Linked DNA regions of Drosophila melanogaster. The protein of the gene in region 2 interacts with the protein of the main gene of each other region in a biochemical or structural test. Each region holds a gene or a part of one and is shown on either strand. Other genes may lie near its edges.

Region 1 (7,152 bases), on a different chromosome or scaffold from region 2:
AATTAAATTCACCATTTAATAGACAGCATTAATAGTGACTATCCTAGATAGAAGAATCCCAACTGAATCCCCTCAAGGCGGCTTTCGCCATCGCCATTGTTCCGTTCATCGGTCAGTTATCTTTGATAAGCAGCTCTGGGATATGGAGACCCATCTGCTGCTCCCAAGGCATTTCGGCCCGGCCAAGTCGTAATGATAAATAGCCGGACAGAGAAAAAAGGAATGCCAAATAGGTAAGCCAATGGGCAATGCAAACTTGGCATTTTTGGCCAAGTATAAAGTCAAGGCAATTGACACCTTCTCGATGAGATGCGTCATTAACATTTCCATTTGATGGCTGGCGGCAGTCGCCTTACCTTCCACCGTTCTCATTTGGCTCGTTGTGTGGCAGCCTTTGTTTTGGCCAAGTCCCCGAACCGTCTCGTTTTGTTTCGTTCTGTTTATCGCCAGCTGTCAATCGTTAAATGACAAACAAAGAAATGCGGCCAGCAATTTGCAGCCAGCCAAATGGCGTCTATGATTTCCAACTGTCAATGACAGTTGCTAATCCACGGCATTCCTGCTGTCTCGGGCTTTTGCGCTGTCTTGCTTCGGAAATGAAATAATAAATGATATCTCCCTCTGGACTCTGCATTTTTGTGCCCGCCAATCGTAAAGAGTGGGGTATATTGTGCAAAGGGTATAAAAGGTATAATGAAAGCAGCTTACATTTTTGCAATGCATATTTAAGCATACCCATCATATTAAGCTTTGCCAGCACTGAGACAGGAAAATCCAGTTTAGTATTGCTATTGTACTTATGCTACTTGTGAAACGCATAAGAATTAATAAGTTATTCGCCAATAAGCTAACAAAAAAGTAGGTATCCAATAGTCGAGACAATCGCGAGTGACAGCTTTTCGTGCTTAATATACATATACCCAAAGCTAGTTTTTCGCTCAGTTCCGTCTGCATCCATATTTTCCTCAATTTCTTTTCTTTGTGAATTTTCCTCTTATCCGCATTCTTTCCGTGTTTTATTTGACATTCTCTTTTTGAAAGCGTTTTGCTACTTTCGCGTGTCAAAAACTGCAGCAGAATGCCAAATAAAAGGCTTGTTTATGTCACCTGAAATGGTGGTGGGGATTTTGTGCTTTTCCTTTTTTTTTGCAGCTTGGTGACTGTCGCTGGTAATATGCAGAAAATGTATTAAATTAAGCTTAAACTTTTATAGCGTTTGGTGCCAATCAAAATCTGCTCGGATTGCAGATGAATTGGAATATTTATCTTTTCGACGCGACATTTCTTGGTCATCCTATTATGAAGACTTACAGCTATTCGTTACGAAAAATTCTTGTGGCTTGAAAATCAATAAATATGCAAGTAAAGGAAATATTTTTTTCTGGTTTTAGGCAACCAGCAAGGGTAGTCGAAACTTTTGAGAAATTGCGAAACGTCATTTATCTATTGTAAAAGGAGAAAATGAGTACTTGGGCTATGAGTGCTTCTTGGCCCTCGGTTTAATTAGAGCCACATCCACTGGGAGCGTTTACATCATTTGCCATAATTCATCTGTCCACTGACTGCCAGCTGCTGTTGTGCATCGCTCGAAATAAAAATCAAATCACAGAGCCGTCCATCTTGGCTGTCAGTTGCCATGATGCTTGCTTGTTTTTCCTTGCCTTGTCTCTTCTCAGCTGGGAAATTTCTTTTAATATAACAAGCCATGCGAAATGCGTACACAAAAAGATGGCAAAATGCTTGCTCCAACGCCCGCTCACACTAACTAGCCACAAGCAGCATTTCCCACTGACATGCAGCTTGTGCATTTTCCCCGTCTTGCATTTGATTAACCTACAAAAAGGCGTTTGGACGTGCGATGCAGTTCGCACAGTGGGCGTTCCTGTTTGTTGCTGCGGTTTCTGGGCTTTTCTTAACGGGCAACTTTAATAAAAAAAACGGTCAGCGGGGGACGGGATGCAGCTGCAGCGGGGGAAAATGCATAAATGCATAAAAAATTGGCCAGCTTACAAGCCGCTTTACATATGCAACATGGGCGCCTGCTGTGCGGGTGTGTGGGTGTGCGGAAGTGCATTGGCACACATATACTTGTACGAGCACACATTGTTGCAAGCAGACATTTTTCCGACACGTGTTTGCTTTCCCGCACTTCCGTTTCCGCCGAGCCATTGATGTGACTTTCCGTCATTTTGTGGGAGAACGAGCTGCTTTTCCGACGCCTTGCCAGCCCCTCAAAGACTTAATTATTTTTCACCAAATAATTAATCAGAGTGAAATGGGAAACTAACAAAATCGGACAGGATGGTGAGACCGACCCCATTTACTCTTGTGATGAAATTTCGAAACTTTGGTAAAACACTTTTTGGCCCTGTGCGAAAGTATGCTGTGAACTATTGCAGCCACCTGAAAGCATTCACGCATATTCGTATGTGTGCGCGTGTGTGTGTGGCCAAGCGTTTGCGCTCGTTTGTGTTTTGTGGGTTGGCCATGCATTTCCGGTTTTAATGATTATAACACAATCAAGTGCATATTGCCTAATTAGCGATCCCCAGCAGCAAGCGCCGTCCAGGCCGCATAAAGTGCATAAAATATTTCCCGCACTCGCTGCGGGCGCTTCATCCGCATGTGCATATGCATGTGTTAGTGTTCGCTCGCGTGCGCTAGTGTGTGTGAGTGCTCGCATATTTTATGTCGCTTATTGGACGGCCATCCACAACGAGCTGTGCATCTATAGTATGTATGTGCATGTATATGCTTCTAGCAGCTAAATTTCATATTCATGTTGTTTATACGGCTTCCGTTTTGGGTGCGTGTGCGAAAATATTGTGTGTAATTGTGCGGTCGGCTACCCGTTTTATTTGATAATTGTGCACAAAACTCCCCACCTATTCATTAGCGCTGACGAACAGCGCCCCACAAATTTGTAGACACAACAAAGGCAAACTGTTATTCCATTTTCCCCCCCAAAGTCTGACACTTGACGCGAGCTCCCAATAATTTAGTTAAAGCTCGTCCTTGGGTGATTTTCGTCCTGCACTTCAAACTGTTTTCGGGCTACAAGTGAAGTAAAGTTATCAAAAAAGTTTGCTGATACCAAGTATTCGACGTTTCGCAAACTTTTCTGAATTATATGTGTATATACGAAAGTAGTGAATGCATATAATAAAGGATAAACGTTGCTTAAGAAATCATGTTGCATGGAACTTAATTTGTTAAGCACATCATTCAGGCTTGAATATTTTTAGCTAGCAATGGCAATGCTAGAAGTCAAAGGAATTGTAATAATAATAAATCGCTATTTTGTTTATGTTGATAACGAGAAGGATATTTTAGGATACTAATATACAAAATACAAAGACAAAATATCCTAGGGGTTTCAAATCATAGAATTGGGCAGAGCTAACAAGTTATTAAGGCATAAAAACCAAATATATATATATAAATATATATATATATGTATCCTTTTGCCATTAATGTTAACCTTTATTGTATACAATAATTGTTTTTCTGACCCTGTTGTTTAAGTTTTCCTTTCATCAATATAAAAGCTTTTTTCCTTTTTTCTTAGATTTATTACGCGTTTTATAACAAACCGCTGCTGTAATGTGACACGGCTTTATGTTGTCAACCACTTTCGAAAGTAATTCATTTTTTTTCAAACAAAATTTCATAATTTCGTTGCGTTCTGTTTGATCATAATCCTGTTTTGAAACGACATTTTTTGTTGATGCTGCGCTTTGCGGGCCACTTTTAATTGCAATAATTAAATGTCAAATTAAATCCTAAATTCCTCGGTGGAATTAATTCAATTGGCGTGACAGTCAAAGTGAAATAACGAATAAAATACCACAATTTCCCAGCGCCGCTAGGGCCCTTCTATAAATGCCGTTTGCAGGCTCTACCAGCCGAGAGAAATGCTGTGATTGTTTTTCCGCAAGTCGGCACTCCTCTTTCATTTTTTTTCGCCAGCCATTTAATGAGCCACGCTCGACTTGCCGCCAAGAATGCAATCAACAGGGGAGGGGAGCGGAGAATGCACGGGTATGCACCAGGACCTTAGTACCCAGCAAGGAGCCAGGACCGGCACAATTTGCGTTAAGCGGGCTGTGAAAAATGAAGTACCAAATTGAAGTTGGCAGCCAGCGTCTCCGGTTGTGTCTTGCACTTATTTATTTATTTAATTCTGGCCATTCCTTCCGCTTACGTACAGTGCTGAGCTATTGTCCTCCGATGATATCGCAGGCACTCGCGACTCGCGGCATTCAATTCAAGCGAGGGACGAAACGCGAGCGCGTCGACTTTCGACACCAACGTGTTAAGAGCTGCGAACTGGTGCGACCGTCAGCGTTGCGCACTAAAACCATACTAAACTAATTTGCTTAGCAGGACGCACTGATTACACAAAGTCCTCGAAGGGCGATAATCGCCGTCATTCGTCACGACTGTCGACTACCGAGCGCTCTTCGGCTCGGAGTTCGTGGAGTTCGGCAAGCACTCGCGAACTTGCCGAAGCGAGCCGAACTCCAAAGGCAAAGAGAACCAGGTCCCGTTAGAGAGCAACAGAGCCAGAGCTCTGTTAGCTGGTTAACAGTGCTGTGGCAGGATAAGAAACCATTGTTGGGGCATCGAAGTCGACCCTTATAGCAGCAAACTATTCTTCCTATTTGGTGGGCTTAAATCTACAATGCAACTTCCAAATAGACCAAACGACTCATATCCTGGCATACTGATTTTTAGAGCTCTTTCCACTAATTTATCGATTTAAATGCAAAAATTTCGTGCCATCTAGCCCGGCATTCCCCAATGATGACCGAGCTTTCAATCATTTAAAATTCCCCAAATACACACACACACGCGGAACACACTCTTCCCTCATCAATGCAAAAATCAAACATTATTTATGCAAATTACAAGCCATTATTATTTAAGCCAACAACCACAAAGGCAGTAATAGTGGGCAAGTACGAGGAGGGGAAAGGGAAACTCCGACCAACAATCATATCCGTCATAGTCATAAAGCCAGGGACCAGGGGACAGCGGGGCCTGCCAATGCTTTGGGGAACCAATTTGGCAGCCGGCATAAATAAATTTTTACTTAATGTAGGTCAGTAATGTGCGCTTCGGTCTCTCTTACCCAAGGCTTCTCTCTTCGGCAAGCGGTGCTCTTTAGAGCGTTCTCTCTTCGGACGCAGCGCCGTGAAATATGCTACTAAAGTTGCTTCTTTTCCGGCTGCGTGTGTGTAGGTGCTCGGGAAATGCCATCAAGCATCAAAGGACCGGGTATGCTTGCATAATGCAAACAGCCAATGATATTGCCATGATTCGTTGAATAATTTCAATTCCAGCTTTCAAGTTGCACACACCAGTAGTCGGTAATTGGTATTAAATAGTTGGGTAGTTAAAAATTTGATGTCATAAAAATAATAAATGCTATTTAGTTATTTGGTAGGAAATCTTCATAAATTCTTAGCTTTCTTCTAAATTCAAAGGTGAAAAGTAAACGCTAGTAGCACAAATTTTTTAGTGTTAAGATATTTTTCGAACATAAAACAATTGCATCTGAATACCTTCGAATAAGCACTGACGCTAACACGATGAATAGCTGAGTGATATCCATCCTAAGTAAAGTTGCATTTGCCAGGGGCTGCATAAATAAATTAGGATACCGAAACTGAGCCAACCGTCTAAACTTCAAAACTCACTTGGTTTCCCATGGATTTTTGCGTAAGTTTAGCTCTACTCACAGTAGACTGCTACAGTCTCCCCCTTCATTCCCTTTAAACAGATCCTGAGACCCACACAAAATCGTCTCCTTGTAACGCATCCTGCAACGCAAGTTGCTCGAAATTTATGTACAAACTCACTTAGGCAAGAATGTTTATGCGTTTTGTACGTGTTGGTTACTGTCGCTCATGTGGGTAGCATCCTCCACATCCTTACCTTGCGCCATCTCATTCCAGCGATCCCACTCGTTTATTTTGGCATTTCTACGAATTTTTTGGGGAAATTTTGTAATGCTGTTCTATGTCCTGAATGTTGTCTCCGGGGAGAAGAAGTGGCCAAGGGGGAAAATGCCTTCTCACGCACACCGAGAAGTGTTATGAAATTTTTCTTCTCTAATGACCTAAATGCAAAGGAATTTCATCTAGCATTTGAGCTAATTGCTATTGCATTGCGTACCATTTAAGTTTCCGTAAATTAAGCTAACAGTCATTGCCTAGGACACGTTAAGTAACAAGTTAGGGCACAGTCCTTGGCACTCAAAGTAGCCACATTTAAATTTCTCTAATTCTTCCTAAGGGGTCATGCCAAAAGCTTTACCGTAAAGAAGAGTCGTCCTTCACGCCTCGACAATTTGAGCATTTTTCCTTCGCAGACTGTTTCCCTTGATCACTTCGGCTGTAAACTATACTTGGCAGTTGCATGAGGGCCAATTATCTGGCACCTCGAGCGGCGGTTTCATTCCAGCTATTTACATATAATTAGCGCCCAACTGGCAGACCGTTGCATCGTTTTTCGCCACTCTCGTTCTCCGTATTTGCACAACGCAGTTTTTGTGCATTTCTTTGTAGTTTCCCACTCCAACTTTCCCTTCAAGACTCTTTGCCAACTTTGACAATGAAGTTGCAACGATGACAACCCCAACAAACTGGAGCGAGTGAAAATATGTAGAAGAGCTTTCAACTGGAGTCGATCAAAAGTTACCCTGCTCAATCGACCCAATTGGCTAAACAAATCAGAATGAGTCTTACTTGCTTGTATGAAAGTGATATCAAAATAATTGTAGTTGAAGTGCAAAAAAATACAGCAGTAACGCATTGAGACAATACATCCAGAAATATCTGAGATAAATCATGTTTGCTTCTTATTATTTTCGTATATAACTCAAGAATATTCAGCTAACTGGGTAATATACCGCGTATAAAAAGGACCGAGACCATCGAAGGTATGCGAAAAACTTTCCCGGCTGATGGCAGTTGCATAGAGGCGCCAACTTAATAAGGCCACCAAAGAGCCCAGTGGGTGGCGCGTATGCAAAGCAGGGGGCTGGAAAAAAGAATTCACGATGCAGAGAAAGGAACTGAGGCTCCCTTGAAGGCAACACTTTCTATCATTCCAAAAGCAGCCAGCTCAAAGCGGGATATATTCCGC
Region 2 (10,242 bases):
AGCATCGCTCCCCATCGCGCCAAATAATATTTAAATATTACTTTTCACCAAAGCGCGCCAAATCCTATAAATCAAACGAAAGTCACCGACTGAAAGAGATCTAGATAGAAAAGTTTCGAAGCGCGCAACTTTCGAGCGAAGAACAACAAGAGAGACGCCTCAAATAAATTCGCAAGAATTGAGCAAACTTTAGAGGATTTCGATTTGTTTTCCATGAAAATGGGCAAATGCTAAATGGAAAATGGAAAATTGAAAATGAGAACCTGGCTATGGGTAAAGTCACCTCGTTATGTCCTCCGCCAAACTGGCAGAATCCCTGCGATGCGTTGAGTGCTTGGCTAAGCCGAATCAATGCGATTTTTATGCTAATACAATCAATCGGTCTAATCGAATCAAACGTTTTGACAACCCAACGGCCTCAAATGGAGCGTTTTGGGGCTTGTCCTAGGTTTAGTCTTTTGTCTTCTGTCCCGACGAATAAACTATCTGGGGCACAGCAACAACAAGTACGCAATATGCATAAAACTTTATATGGCATTTAAATCGCTACCGTGCTGGGTTATCACCGCACATTCGCCACCCCTTTTTTTTCCCATAGCATCTGCTCCTCATCTCCATCTCCATCTCCAGCCCCATCCGCATCCCATCATATCCCATCCCATTTGGCTGCTTACTTCGCCTGTTAACTCAAGCGTCACAAATGCCGGAAATCGAATACAATTTGTAATTCTGATGAACAGTTGAGCAAAACTTAAGCATCGTCTGTCCCGCCTGCTGCTGTTATGTTGCTGTTGCTATTGCTATTGCTGTTGCCATTGTATTGTTACTCCCGTAACGCTTGTTACTCCTCCGATGAGTATGACCATGGCCATTGTTGATTCTACTGGTGATTCCGATTCTTATTGTCCTGGCTTTCCTCTTTCCTGCAACTACTTTTGGCATATTTAGCCGGCTTTCACCTTGCTTTCGCCCAGACATTCTTTATCCTCTTGCTACTCCTTAGCTCGAAGCTGAATTTCTATCTGTGTATTTGTATCTGTATCTGTAGCTCTTCGTTTGGCTTGGCTTCCATTTCGTTATCGAGTCCTTGGCAATCGCCATGTAATGCCAAATTGGGCGACATCGTTTAATGCTTTGTTTTTGGTTTCGGCAACGTGGACCAGGGAATGCGATGTGTCTACAGGTTCACTCATCAGTTGGCGCTCTGTTAAATTTCGCACACGTAGCAGCATAAAAATTGACACCGATAATTCGAGTCGCAGTGCCAGTGTGTGTAGTCAGCGGTACGTATTCGCGATATAAACACGCACACGCCCCGAAAACATACATCATGTTGGAAAATTTGTCGGTCTGGCATGGTGGAGGGAAGGGAGTGGGAATGGTAAAGGTGGAGGGGCACAGGATGCGGAATGGAGAGGAAACTCCCATGGAGGGCGATATGTCGCGTCGCTGTTTACACAAACAAAGTTATCAATTTTACACACGACAGTCGCCCCCCATCCACCATCCCGCACCACACATCCACATCCCCATCACCGTTTCCCCAGCACAGCACTTCCCAGCGGAAGGGCTTCCAAAGTGGTTGGGATAAGGCAGGGGAGGGGATGCAGAAGGAGCAGCCAGGTAGGAGCAGCGAATGGCAGCGTTTCCATCAATTCTGTATGCAATCAATGTCCAAATCGAAGACGCAAAGCGACGAAACCCCACAGTCATAACAAATACAGTAGGGATTCCCTATAGCGCACGCCCCTAGAGTGCAATTCAAGCACGAAAGTAGCGTTCTGTTGCATTTCATTTAAAGTTCCTGTCCTCTTAGAACTGGTTGTAAAGTTTGTTCAACACCAACTTCTTTTAGCAATGTTTAAAAACCCATTCGAAACTTTATAGTCTCAAAAAAAAAAAAAAAGAGAATGTCAAAGCAGCTGAGTTATCACTGTTTATCAAAAGAAGACTACACGGAATGGCACTTGTCGTTCCACTCGAGAAGTTTCAGCGAAAGTGATCCTTTCATCGGACTGCTTTGAAATATTGAACTTAACATATTAAAGCATACTTTTCTGGGCAACTGGCAGCGTATCAAAAGTTATCGTGGCCCACAACCGCACTTTAAGCGCCTTACATTCTTGCAACAATTTCTGGTGACTTTCCCCCCTATATATAGTAAACATTTTTCATAATTCTGCACCCCTATTCACCGACAGCCAGCGATGAAAACAGAATTCACTTAGGGCTAAAAGAGATGGATGAGGGGCTGGCAAAATGTCGCCGCTTGTTAAATTTAAGGAATGTTTGGCTTGTTAGTGTAAAATAATATGAGCGACGTGGGTGGTCTATCCCAACTGAGGCGCCCGCTCGTCCTGTTGTCTATTTGATTCGCCAGGATATGCTAAAACAGGAGTAGGTGAGGAAGTCGAAGCACACGACGCGACGAAGAAAGAATTCCACTCAAATTGCATTTATTGGAGAAATATTTATAATAACTTGGAAATTCAATTTCCAAAGAAAATATGCTAAACGGATTTCAGGGGGGTACTGCAGTCGACGAGGGTGTGGAAAAGGCAGAAGGACTTTCCGAGGTGAGGATGCCAGTCTGCATGTGTGTGTGTGTGTATTCCAGTGGCTTGTCTCGTGTCAATGGCTCGTGTGTGTCGCCTGTCTGTGTGCGTGCAGAGAGATATGTTAGAAAATTAAAATCGACCATATGTTGCCTCATCGATTTTGATAAGTCGCCCAACGGCAGCACAGCAACATGAGCAACATGGGGCGCGGCATGAGTAGGGAGCAGCAGTAGCAGCAGCAACAGCACCATGGCCGCTTCATATCCGTTTCCGCTTTGACACAATGGGCGCACAATGCGTGGCACTCGAGTGCTGTGCGAGTGTGTGTGTGGTTGTCTGTTGCTGCCACTGCCACTTTCAATTGCAAAAAGCTGGCTTAAAAAGGCGCCTTGTCATGCATGAGTTTTCCGCCTTCTATTATTGATGTTGTTTTGTGTTTTTGTGTATCATTATTGCTGGTGCTGGTGCTCGCTGCTCCATTGTTGCTCCTTTCTTGTCGCCGGCCGATCTGCTGCTGTCTGCCGTTTGCGTGACACAAATCAAACGTACCCTACTAAATATTTCATAAGCACATTCAGCCACGCACCTCCAATGAACTTTAAGGACATGCAGGAGCAGGTCTTAACCCTCCGACAACCCACCCACGCCTCCTAATATGATACGATGGCTTACCATTCAATTTGGCTTCAATAAATGTTGCCGCAACATGTTGCTGTTGCGCCGGCGCAAGGACACTGCTTCTCCTGGAGATTTGCATATTGTTGGAGGATTCGCTGGAGCAGCTCCGTTCAGTTGTTTACCGCGCCTCAAGCCACACACACGCAACGAGCGCTGACAAACCGGAAACTCGGGGAACTGTGTCCCGTGACCCGTGAACTGCTACCCGTGACTCTGGGAAATCGCTAGCCGTGACTCGTGTTCGGCCTGCTCGGCTGGCTTTCGTATCTCGTATCTCGTATCTGGCGTCTCAATCGGAATCGGAATTGGAATTGGAATCGCGTCATTGGAGTGACTGATTTTGCGAATTGGTGGTGCTGGTGATGGTGCTGGAGTGTGTCGGAGTGTGTGGATGAGTGCTCCTTACGTAGCGTAAGGGCTGTTACGTAAGCCAAGGACCTGCTCGCTCCGCGGAAAAGGACACAAACGCAACGCGCTCGAATGCGTTACGTTGCGCATGAGATGGCGGCACGCAGTTCGCGCTACATTTACTTCGACCACGGCCACCGAATCTAGTCCGCTCATAGGAAAAGGTAGCTCCTCATTTGCGCTAGTCCCTCAGTTCCTCCTCCTTCTTTTTAGCTCCACGTCCCTGTCGAATATAATTAAGTGTATTATCAGAACGTGACCAGAGCGAAATTGCTGCCTGCGGGCGAGGTAAATGCTCCTGCTTTTCCTCATCCGTTGGCCAGAAGCAATTGAATGGACAGCTTAGTGTGTAATGAAGAAATTACCAAAAGCTCGAATCCAACCACCAGCCCCCCTCCACTTCCAGGATCCTTCTAACGACCCAACGGAAGGCACCCCCCATCCCCCTGCCAAACACTCGCAAGGACATCTTCATCTCGTTCTTGTCCTGTGGGCGTCATGGTGATTGAAAACTCGACCGCACTGCGGTCTTGTCATCAGTTTAAATGAATGTGCTGCGGTTTCCGGAGCACCGATAAGACGGAGCCCAGAGCCTAATCCCTTTCAGTTATTGTTTCTGCACAATTGTGGGCTAAAAAGTGGGCGGGGCTGGTGGCGAGTATCCTTCATCTTTAGCTTCATCTTTTGTGTGTTGCCTTTCGAGTCGATTTGAGTCGCTTCGGTTCGGTTCGAGTTGAATTGAGTAGAGTCGAGTTCTCCGCGATTGCCATCATTTATTTTAATTACTTTTCTGTTGTCGCCCTACCCACTTTGCTCCTGCTCTTCGCTGGTGGTCCTTCGTCCTGGCTGCAGTTATAAGTAATTCGAGAGCCCCACAAATTGCGCATGAAATGTTGGTGGAATACTTTATGGCGCTGCTCGTGATCATGGGATTAACCGCTCCAGTCGACAAGCAGAGCCGGCGCAGCAGCCAATACTTCGGTGAGTACGGATTTAAATCTAATCAGACAACACTCAAAGGGTTAAGCCAACCGGGGACTGGGCAGTCGTATCAGAAATGGCATAATAAATGAGAATCGCAGAGCGAATGGTATTGGGAATCGGAATCGGAAGTGGGGAATCGGGAAGCGCGAAGCAATCTAATTAGATTGAGGGATATGGCGGGGATTACAAGGGGTCACTGATCTCGCAGTTGGGGCAGAGGACACACTTTAAATACTCAACTGCTTAAGCGGTTAATGAAATTAAAAAACTAAATTGCTAATACCTTAATTAAAATTACTTTTAGATAGATTAAAGGAGTTAAAGTTAAAGGAGTTCAGATTAAAGGAGTTAAACGAGCACAACGATTATGACTTGAATAAAAGAAATTAACTCTTTTTTTCGCCATATTTGATTTATATTTGATTTATAATTTTTTGTGCAACATAAGCTTAAACGTAAAAAGCATGTTTTATTAAATTTCATACAATTAGTACTTTGTGAATTTGTATTTCCATTTTTTCATATTTCTCAAATCCCTCAACACATATTTGCCTATTAAATTACACTTATGGAAAGTAACTTTTCCGGTTAGTTATTTTTTCACACAGATGTTTTTTTTTTTTTAAGTTGCATACATGGTTTATTCATTTAAATCCTGCAAACTTTTAATGTGGTTTAATGTGGTTCAACACAAAGTTAAATTCCGCTTCGCTTTTTGCAACGGAAGGGAGCAAGCTGCCTAATGGATAACTGATCTCTAAAAGGGGATCCGAATTAGGTAATCTGCACTCGCAGCTGTCAGGAATTGTTTATGATCCCATCTATTTCGCATCTCTCTGCTGCGAGTGAATTTGATGCGGGACCCAGGAGCAGCTGCAATTGCTCATTTGTAATTTATGGCACCTGAACTCAGTTTAGGGCCCGCTTGGGGAACTGCAGCTAGGGATGATGGGGATATGGTGATGAAGGAAGAGCCGGAGGTTGTGGATGTGGATGTTGAGGTCCTGCAGAAGCGTTAGCCATGGCCACTGAAGCTGCGGTTGCGGTTCGACCCGGCAATTTTCCAACTTACCACCCCGCACTTTGTATGTAAATACGCAACTTTTATTAAAAAATTTTATGTTGTTACATATTTCCTGCCGTTGTGCGGGAACGTGTGTGCGAGGGAGTTTTTTTTTTTTATTTTGTGGCCAGCATAAAAAGCAATTTCAGTTCAAGTGCCTTGGCCTGGCCAAAAGCAAAAGCAAAAGCAACAGCCATAGCGAAAGCTAAAGCATCGTCATAGTCATCGGCTGCGGATCAACAGTTTCAATTAAGTGTTAAACGTCATTTTATTGCCTGATATTTGATAGCTAAATTTGCTCAACCACACTCGCACACAATATGGATCCTGGCCTATAAATCAATATGTGTTTATCCACTCCACATCCACATATCCACATAACCAATCGAGTAGTACCCAGTCCCTTCTCCTTCACATCCCACGCACAGCTGTATTTGTGTTTGTATTTGTTTAGGCACTCATGGATTATTAGCGCATTAGTTGGCTAATACATCGCCATTTGGGCGGTGGAGCTGCAGCAACAATAGCGCCAATAGCACCACCACCCACATAAATCACTTGGCCGCCCAGCGATGGATCATAAACGCGGGAATGGCTCCAAAGGGGTGTAGGCTTAAGCTCCGGCATAAATTAAGCACAAATACTCGTTAATCAAATGAATGCTGATTGCCAGCTGAGGCATCCCCGCCAGCTGATTGAGCCAACCAATCGACCATCCATCTGTCCGTTTGTCCGTCCGTCTGTCTGTCCGTCTGCATATCTATCTATTCATCTATCTATCTGCCAGTCTAACTGTCTATCTATCCGACGCTTCCTGTGTTCATCTGCCTGCCTGCCTCCTGGGCTCAGGTCCTGAAATGCACTTGAATACGTTTAGATTGACGTTCAGATACAACTGGTGGAATGAACTACCCAGGGAATATTTAATGGGCAGCTTGAATATCTAGGCCCTTTATGTACTAACAATATATATTGGCATAGATTCTGTTTCCGCGGGGATAAATTTGACGTTTAGAGGGTTATTCATATCCTTGGGTTCTTAAAACTTATTCAACTTATTCAACCTTTTAAATAATTATAATCTGTTTACTGTTTTACAGGCCATCTGGCCGCCGCCGAGGAATTGTCCAACTTGATACCAGATAATTACGATGCCATCGATCCCGTGTTTGACAACACAACAGATCGGGAGGTTATTGCAGCTTTGGGCACCACCGCCCGTCTCCACTGCCGCGTTCGCCACCTGGGCGACAGGGCGGTGTCCTGGATACGACAACGGGATCTCCACATCCTGACCATCGGCATCATGACCTACACGAACGATCAGCGCTTTCTGGCGCGGCACATCGACAACTCCGACGAGTGGGTGCTCAAGATCGTTTCGGTGCAGCAGAGAGATGCGGGCGTCTACGAGTGCCAGGTGTCCACGGAGCCCAAGATCAGTCTGGCCTACAAGCTGGTCGTCGTGAGTAAGTATCTTTCACTAAGAAGAGCTATGAACAAGACACTTGTCACTTTTGAGCAAATGAATATATCCAAAACTATATTTACTGATAATATCCTTGTGTTCATAACGAATCGAAGGGCTTCAAATAATTCTCTGTTGGTATGTACATACCACTAAACATTCCAAATCCATTTGAATCCGCTTAAGTTTGTTCCGAACCCTTTCATGACCCATCATAATTATTCAATCGAAATTCAGCCCCAAGTTCCTGTTTTATTACTCCCATTGAATCTCAATCGATTGGCGGTCTTGTAAGACGTTGCTTACATCTCCGTTTAGACAGCAGCGCAAGGGCGCGAAGGGCTGGGATTACTTTGACAAATTAGTTTATCAAACACCCCAGTACATCACACGACAAACTAGGATGGGGCATGGGAATAGGGATTGAGAAGTTGAGGGGTTGAGGGCTATGGATCCACCCAATAGGCAACTTGTTGACATACCCATTAATCGAAAACGACGCCGCTCTTTGACAGCCTCCAAGGCTCAGATCCTGGCCAACCGCGAGCTGTTCATCCAGAGTGGCAGCGACATCAATCTGACGTGCATCGCACCCCAGGCTCCAGGACCCTACACGCACATGCTGTGGCACAAGGACACGGAGCTGGTAAGCGACTCGGCGCGGGGTGGCATCCGCGTAGAGTCCGAGCAGCAGATGAAGACCAGCAACCTGGTGATATCGCGAGTCCAGCACACGGACTCGGGCAACTACACCTGCTCCGCGGACAACTCGAGTGAGTCCTTTAGAAATGCATGAACTGTTAGATTAAGGACACTAGGTGAATACATATGCGATTAAGGTGTGTGTGTCGAAAATTTAATTTAAATCCAATTAGTCCAAGATGGAACTGACAGTTTTACAACGAAAGTTCGATTTCATTAAATACTTAATTACATTTGAAACACGCCACCAACTGACTCGTATAAAATATTTACACATGCACATGACTATCGAAAAGTAGTTGCACATATAAACATCGTAAATTAACCATCAAATACTGAAAATCAAATTAATTCAATTGCTTACTTATTTATGGGTGTAGTATACATTGTGATCAGTTACAATGTAAAATATACAGATTTCACTTTATCCATAGCTACAAGGCATTAAGTTAATGGTGGCTTATTGCATAAAATAATATTCTATAATTGAGTTTACATATTGAATGCATATAAACTCAATTATGAAATTTTATTCGAAAATAGCAGTGCACATTTATTATTGTTATTTATTCAAGGAGATACAGTTTTTAAAAAATAACTAATGTTATTACAATAGCTAATAATACTCTTGCTAAAGCAGCCATACATTATACATTCAAATAATTGTTTTCACTGCTTTTCGTACAGAGTATGCCAGCTTTAATATTTAAATTCAGCCCTTTAATAAGTAACGACCTAAAATATTTATTTTACAATTTTCTAACCCACCCTTTTGCCACCTTTTCCCAACAGATTCTGACAGCGTCTTTGTGCATATCATTAAAAGTGAGCAGCACGCGGCCATGCAGCACGAGCTGGGCTCGAGGCTGCTCCTGCCCCCTCTGCCCCTGTTGCTCCTGGCGGTCCTGCTGGTCGTCCTGCTGGGCCCCACCTCCAGCCTCCAGATTCGCACCCCGCTCTCAACCCGCTAAGCCGAGCCAAAGACGAGCGGCAACTTATGTTCGATGTCTGGAGCCATGGGAGCCCCGTTATTCCTGGTGGCCGGGTAAGTCGGTGATTTTTAATGCCACCATCAGCTCAGGAGTCGTAGTCATCATCTCGTTACAGGCCACGCCTCCACGTCACAGTAACCGCCCACATTGGAGGAGCCCGGTAGAAATTGCTGGATGCGGAGGTTAACGACGTCGATGTCGCGTTGTCTTGTAAATATGTAAATTGAGTTTTTGTTTACGTTTGTGTTTGTGTTTTGTGGCTCAGTCTCTAAGTATTTTTATACGTAATTAAGTAAATAGGTGGAGAGAGCATATGTGCTGGCTAGGCTATATATAGTCAATCTTGGCTATGTGGCAAATGGGACATATACATTTTGTTCACACACGATCGCATACCTAGAGATACTAAAAACGAGCAATCGAATCCGAATCGAATCGAATCCGTAACGAATGTAAATAAATGTTTAATCTTAATAATAGATAGACGAGATCTAGATTAATTATGATAAATCGGTTGCAATTTAATTTTCTCCACCAATGATTGATGGCGATATGAATGTGAACGAATTCAATTCCGCCTCTGACATCCTGCGACCCGGATTATGCCGCTTAATTGCCGGGGCGATGCGTTGAGGGTTCCAGCGGTAATTGAAATACGATAAGGTCAGGTCGGGTCATCAGTACATACTTTGCTTCACACACTCCGCCCCATTCCACCGGCAACGACATCAAAGACGGAACACTTTCACTTTTTTGGGTGGCGAAGGAAATTGTGAAGGGAAGTGCGACGACAGGTGTGCCTGGAGCAAGGTAATTGAAACATTTGAGGCGTGCATAATTCACACTCCACGCCGGCAATTACATCTGAAGTTCTCGGACAAAGTTTGTGGCCACAATGGGATATCTTGGCAATAAGTACCTGAATGCAGGGACTTCAGTGACAATTCCAAGTGCTTCAAAAGCGCCGACAACACAATGAGTAATGGCTGGGTAAGGAGAAGGACTCGCAAGGATGGAACACGCCGCATAACGCATCTCCTTAATGCCAAGTGTTCGCTGAATTTTGCATAAGGTGGTGGTAATTGAAATAAAAGACGTTCGCAGCCGCTAATGGGTCTGCACGCAAGGACTGCTGGTGGCTCCGGCGCGAAGATGGAACATCTTCGCAACCGCACAGCCTGGAGCCCCCAAAGTAGGCGAGCATCCATCACAATCCGGCGAAAAGGAGAGGGTTTAAAAACGGGGGCAACAGAAGGGTGGAGTAGCTGGGTACATGGGCGTAAGCATGTCGTGGTGTTCGCTTTTCTTTTCCCTCTTGGCATTTCGCAAATCTTTGGGGAATCTTACGCATCTAAAACACGCGCTGCCTGACAGTCACAGTCCCAGTGC
Region 3 (7,041 bases), on a different chromosome or scaffold from region 2:
CCTTTAAAGCTAGTCTAAGGAATCATGTAAAATAGAAACATTATATACACATGGAATAGAAGTTATGTATCAAAGGATATGTATACATTTTGGAAATCATGTGGTATAAAAGAGAAACCATAAGTGCAGATCCTGCCAACTAATCCCCATCACCTGTAACCGCTTCAAAATATGAAGGAGGAGGAGGAGAAGGGGTCGAGTGGGCAATATCCGCGCGCCTCGTAATTGGCAGTCATTAGCGCGCCTCTAATGGCATCAACTTCTGGCCATTGCTGTTGCTATTTATGCGTGTAAACAGGCAACAGGGCAAAGTTCAACAAAAAGTACTTGAAAACAGAATCAAAACTACGAAACAATGGCAAACAATAATCGCGATGCCGGTTGAAAATACGCCAAATTAAAAGTTTCAAGTTTAAATCCGAGCCGGAGGGCCAACGGCCTTCCTCTCCGGACGTATCCTGTGCCCTCCCCCCGGGGGCCCAGTTCAGCATATTTCCTTCTCCGGCCGGAGAACAGTGCTCTTGGCTTATTTTGCGTGTTTGGACTGTGTAAATTGTGCAGGCGAACAGCTGCCAGAAATTAACTACCAACCTGCAACTATCTTTTGGAAAAGGTGTTGCATGCTCTGCCTCTCTGCTCATTTCATTTTAGACTCGTTCTCCGTTTTGTTTCACGGCTCTTAAACGTGGCCGGTGGGCAAACCTGTTTACGGAACGGAAATGAAATGTTTCGTTGGCAGCCGCAACGTTGTGAACTCGTAAATAAAGCATCAAATCGTGCATCTTTACGGACTTCTGATGGGTCTGAAATAGTTAGGCTTATGCCGGAGTTAAGTTCGGTTCACCTTTTCCATTTTAGAAGCCTGCCCAGGTGACATGAATGACACAACTTTTGCCGGCAAATGTTACCCAATGCAGTTGTAATCAGACTTTTGCGATAATTGTTTATTGGCCCATGAGCATGCATCACATGAGCTTTTCAAATAGTTATTGGATTGGTCAAAACCATTTGCTAGGTCTATAGTTAAGAGTCTCCAACCGATAATTGTCGTTTGAATTGATAGTTAAATTGCTGTTGTCTACAAAAATGCATAAAAATACATTAGAACTACCATTAAGATCTTTATTTAACGGAAATTTATAGTTAACAGGGAATTATTTTGTGTAAAAAAAAAAACAAAAGTATCTAAAATATCTAATAAAAGTTACTATCACTATGGGCCCGGTTACTCGCTAAGATTCGCTGGTCAAGTTCTGTCGATTACTTAAATTACTATTGATAAGCTGAGGTTGAACCCTATATTTCTGTTCAAACTATTTTTACGGAACACTTAAAACTAGTTCGGGGGCAATAATAGAAGGGTGCCTGCTGCCAGACGCAGATATCAATATGTTCGAAAGTCCGCCCTTATGATTGGGGAACCTTGATTAACTTTCCAGCTGACTCGGCCATGAGCCTGAACATGCAAACGATTTCGGGTTTTGGAAAAATAAAAGTCTACTTTCTGGCGGCCGCAAACTGACAGGAACCATTTTAAACTGACATTTCATTAAAATTCCTTGTCCCCTCCCTTCGAGTTCGTATTGATTTTTTCATAATTTAGCGGAATTGAAAGCAAAGTTGCCGGCATGTGTGCTATGTGTCCTTTGTCATACACACATACACACACACACCCATACACTCACACATTTAAATCCGCATTGCATGCCCAGAAAAGTAGACTACAAAAGACAACAGGCAAACGACAGCACTGCAAATGGTTACAGGGAGGGGGTGGCGGTTGGCCTGGAACGGCGGTAGGCACTAAAAATGTCTAGCAAATGGGCCTGGCAATATTATTAATAATTTAGAGCATGCGGGCCACGTCAGGAGTCGGACTCGGAGTCAGGGACAGGTGATGGCTTCAGGCTTCAGGCCCACGGCCTGACCACAATCCGAAGCCATATCGAGGCGATTGTGTCGAAAGTACCTTCCCGCTTCTGGTGGGCAGCTCTTGGATGTTTGGTGCCATTGGATATTGATGGCGATGTAGATCACTGATGTTTATTAATTATCACGAGTTAAAAGTTTTGCTTTTCTAAATTGGCACAACAGCCTACACTGACAAAATATCTTCATTCATTCAAGCATATATAATATATATTGTGTTTCACATTCTTCTGTAATTATATAAAATTGAAAATATTTTGTAATAAATAATGGAAAGTATTTAAACAAAGCGAAAATTCAATCGAGCAATGTGATGAATGCCTAAATTGACCACAAGCAATTTTCCAAGCAAATGTGTAATTTATTTCAATTTGGATGTTTCTAAATCCTTTTCCTGTACTTATTTTGTTACCAGCTTTAAGTACAACTTATGAAAAAGCAAAAAAAGAAAATATTTATGACAAATAATAAGAGGTGCTCATGGCACCTTTGTAGTGTTCAAGCCATATATTATTTTTATGGTTTCGGACATGCACGGTCCCTTTTTCTCCAACGCTTCAATGTGTATAATCAGCTGCTGAATTATGGCAAATTTTCAGTAACCCCCCCGACAGTTTGCTTGAAGCACCTTTTGCATTTTTCCCTTTAAAACAATAATGCTGACATGTAGAAGCTTCAACTGAAATGTCATTCGCTACTACTACCAGACTTCTCGAGCTATACTTTAAATTCAATTTCCAGCGCAAACATTAATTAACACGTGATAAATATCCCGCTCTATCGCGATGCCACTTCGACATTTTTCAGAATTATTCGCCGTCTAGCTTTTTAAATTTTTTTTAATCCGGCCCAGAAAAGGGCAGCCCAGTTAACCGGACCTTGCATAAAATTTGCATAACTCATAGTGTTCAGGCTGGCAGCGCCTTCTAGAAATCAGAGTTTCGCTCGGTTTTTCACAATTTTCTCCTCCGCTCGCTTTCCAGCACGGAAGTTGATTATTATCGCTTGTTATTAACAACAGCAACAACAATGGCAGGAAAAATCCAACTCCTCACATGCCGGCCATTATGTCAAGCCGACTGAACGACGAGGCCTTGCCAACCATTTCGTTATCGCTCCGGGGGCAATTGGAATTCTTCTTATGCAATTGATACCGGAGCAGGCGGGGGAATTCGGATTAAGGGGATTACGATTTCGCAGCAGAACAACAGGGTTTTCAATCTTGAGTCAACATGTTTTAATTTCCATAATATACATATATGTATACCACTCGGCCCCACCTGGAGCGTCAGTAGACAGTGCACATTCGGCTGTGGGCGCCAACTGAAATCACAATCGAGCAGATAACAACTGATCAGAAATTATATGTAAAATGCAAATGATAGAGAAACGCCATAAATCGAAAACAGGCACCATCATGCCACCCCGGGGGAAAACCACCGAATGTGGGTTGTACAGTGTACACTGTACACATATTATTTCCGGTTCGTCCCAAAAGCGCTGCAACATATTTGCAACAAATGGCTAGCCAGCTAGACAGCAAATTGGCATGAAGCGTCGAGGGTTTGTCCTGCGCTTTATGGATATCAATGAACTTTAAATTACACTCGGGCAGCCGTGAAACATAAAATATGCAATTGTTGCCCATGTGGCCTAAACAGTGCACTCCTGCCATACGGGGACACTCGTAATAAACAGCGTCGAGTGGCGCGCCAGACACATTCACATTTGTAGGCAAATTTCACGATACACACACACACACACACAGACACGCATGCAGCTGGAATGGCAAATCATGTGACGAGCATTGACCGCCGAGGGTGGCCCGATTGTTGTTGCTTCATAAATAACTCGGGCTTTGTTTTTACTTTAAATATAATTACAGCAAACACGCAGCTGACGGCAAATGTCGCCAAAATCGCGGCTAAATTGCCAACAAGCGGCTAAAAACGCGCGCGACTCAACACGCGAGCGAATTCTACTTGTTGTCGATTTGACCTGGCCGAAATCGCTGCCAAACTATTTTCGAATGCCTTCACTGGCCGCAATCACAGCCAGCGATTAGAAAAAGGATTCCTTGCTTTCTTTCAATAGTCTTGCATGCAGATTTTAATGGAAGTTCGCATTTAACTTAATAGCTGCAGCATAACAACCTTTTTCAGAGCATTTTCTTGGCAATCTTGTATTTTTCGTGAAACTCCAAATTGCACATGTCCTGCGGCTGAGCTGTCCTGATTTTTTTTTTTTTAAATCCTGTCGAGAAATTCGCTCAGCACAAGTCACTCATGGCGTCTACAGCATCACTTCGATTCACTTGCAGCACGAATGCAACACTTGGCGGCAAAAAACACACGCGATTCCGTTAGGGATTCTGCTTGCTTGTATGCAGCAGGATTCGAAGGACTAAAGGCCAACCGCACGAACCGAGCGCCGTCGATGTACTGAAGCCAGCATTTCCGAGGGCCACCAAAGTCGCGTGGAACGACTCCCAGCGACTGCCGAGCGATGCCGAAGATGCTCCTTTGGCGAATCGTCGTCGTTTTGGGGGGTTTTGGGGGGAGTGTGGGCGCCCCAGTGGGTGGGTGGTGTTTTTTAGTGGGCGCCCGGGGGGTGGGCAGCGGCCTCGCGAACGAATCAGACAACTGTGATTTTTGTTGTTGCTGGGCCACATTTTATTTTGCTTTTTGTTGGCGGGCGCTTTTCACTTCGTGGTGCTTCTTTTTTCCTAACATGCTCTGCGCGTGTGTGTGTGCGTGTGCTGCCCAATGGGGGGCGCGCTCTCGGCTCGGTTGAATACGAATTGAATGGCATTGAAAGCCTGGGAAATTCTCTCGCCATACTTTTGGGCGCGTGAAACTGGTGGCTCGCATTTATGAATGAAATCTGTGGCAAAGGAAAGGGTTAACCCTTTTTGGGTTGGGTGAAGGGATGGTGATGGTGAGAGGGGGTGCTGATAGTAAGTAACTGTGTGAGATGAAGAAATGAATTGTCATTGGTCGTGGCGCTTGAATATGAGAGAGGGAATTATCACTTGCAATTCTGACAACTGCAATAAGTACAACAGATTATTGCCATAGGAAAATACTATATATTTTGACTTGTAGGTAGAAGAAAATGGAATGGAAGCCATCTGCAAGATGATCTTTCGCTGTCTTCTATTTTGGATCTCTTTTACGGGATTCATTTAATATAAATCAATCATTATCAGAAAATTATGCTTTAAATTTAAGTATGTATTGATAAAAAACAATGTTTCAATGGTTCGCAAGAAATAGTTTCCATAAATTTAAAGACGTAACTAAGGCCAATCTTACATCTAACTGAAATCTGTTTGAAATTCTCAAACAAAAATTTTCTAACGATATAATTTGTAGTATATATGCAGAAACAAAGTTCTTTCCAACTAAGAATTGAAATAAAATTTTTAAAATTAAATTAGTGCTTTACTAGGCCGTCTTATTTATATAAAACGATATAACAAAGTCGTTCAGCATGAAATATTATTTAATAAAATTCGCCTGCATCGTTCCGAGTCAGTTTTGATTGTTATTAAATATATTAGTGCCCCCAATACTTTGAAATATGCAACTAAAAATTGACTGCGATCGATTCAAAAATGCTTCAAAGTCCGTTCGCTATGATACATTATTTAATTAAATTTCTTCTGCTTGGTGAAACTTTTCTTTGGAGATTTCCATTATGTGTGGCAAGTGCAACAAGCGAGGCAGGAAAGTCACCCACCCACACACGCACACCAGCCAGTCGCTTTTCAATAACCGTGCCACATTGTGTCAGGCACCGTTTTGACCTGGCCACCGCCCTCTGCAACTCTAAATTGCTCATATATACTTATATATATATATATATATTTCGGGAGCTAATCAACTCCCGCCCCCTTTCCCTATCGCGTCTTTATAACAGGCATATAATTTCGCACAACACACGCACACGACCAATAAATAATAGCGATGGAAACAGTAGAAACCCACCAATAACAGATTTTATGACGTATAAAAAGGATTTATAAAGCGTCCCTGGAAGGAACTATCTATCCCGCTCCATTTCTCCATCGAAAACTTTTCATTGCGTGCCAATGCACTGGAGCCACAAATCATTTTTACCAAAAGGGTTAGCTCTACACTCGAAGAAAGAAAGTTGATTATTTTAAATTAAAATCAAAGAGATTACATATTAGAATTATTCAAGAACAAATACACTTTAATGAAATATTACGTTATGTTCAACGATGGATTTATAAATTTGACTATTCAACTATTTGAACTATTTTCTCTCAGTATATAGGGACTGGGAGGACTAGCAACTTGTTTTCAAGTTTCTTGCTTTGTTTCCTTTGCCTTGCTTCCTGGCTGGTATCCTTTTACGAGCTTGCAAGCCCCTAATATAAATTTTGACACCTGATAATTGCTTTTCACTCGCTTCCGCGTTTTTCGCTGGATGCGACGACGACAGCTGCAGTTCTTTCACCTGCCACCCGGCGGACGAATCACCTGCGCGTCTGGAGCCACCACCCACCACATCGGGACATCTGCCCACTCCCACTGATGGGGGCTCGACATGCAAAGGTGGTGGGGAAGTTGGGGTCGATGGGGAGGATCTGCAGGATGGTTTGTTAGCTGCTTAACTGCCATAAATTATGACTATATTTTCGCTTTTACGGCGCCGTTTAATAGACAAAAGTTCTGGCTGAGTTATAGAAGGAAGCGTCAAGGTTGCCAACCGGCTTAGGAAATTGCCAATTAAAAGTCTATAAAAGTGTATAATTATATGGAAATATTCGGAAATTATTCGGATCGTGCGTCCAAAATAGAGACATCAATAGGGACGCTTACTTAAATATTACTACATTGTAATTGCACCCTGTAAACTTTTTACTTATATCTTATATGATATAGTTCTTGTAAGGGCATTGAATTGTCTTCTCCAAATTCTACCCATAAATATAGAGATACTTATACTCTTAATTTTATTTATTCTCTTTGCCACTTTAGGCATAATTTGCACTCTCTTATAATTGTTTATATTCCCCACACGCACTTAGACGACTCAATCTCCTATTGAAATCCAATGATTGGATCAGTTGATATTGTCGAC

The links. The genes of interacting proteins can lie anywhere in the genome.
Region 1: the proteins of dpr5 (region 2) and DIP-theta form a complex in vitro, tested with the Drosophila melanogaster proteins (one study listed by BioGRID).
Region 3: the proteins of dpr5 (region 2) and DIP-eta form a complex in vitro, tested with the Drosophila melanogaster proteins (one study listed by BioGRID).

What each region holds. Positions count from the first base shown.
Region 1 is NT_033779.5:5,654,187-5,661,338, forward strand, and holds the start of DIP-theta (Dpr-interacting protein theta), read right to left. Parts: upstream 4,375-7,152; 5' UTR 4,209-4,374; intron 1-4,208.
Region 2 is NT_033777.3:11,496,621-11,506,862, forward strand, and holds dpr5 (defective proboscis extension response 5), read left to right. Parts: upstream 1-3,363; 5' UTR 3,364-3,732; coding exon 3,733-3,808; intron 3,809-4,449; exon of another isoform or gene 4,450-4,496; coding exon 4,497-4,625; intron 4,626-6,791; coding exon 6,792-7,160; intron 7,161-7,674; coding exon 7,675-7,932; intron 7,933-8,653; coding exon 8,654-8,832; 3' UTR 8,833-8,906; intron 8,907-8,968; 3' UTR 8,969-9,331; downstream 9,332-10,242.
Region 3 is NT_033779.5:5,613,573-5,620,613, forward strand, and holds the start of DIP-eta (Dpr-interacting protein eta), read right to left. Parts: upstream 4,375-7,041; 5' UTR 4,083-4,374; intron 2,090-4,082; exon of another isoform or gene 1,658-2,089; intron 15-1,657; 5' UTR 1-14.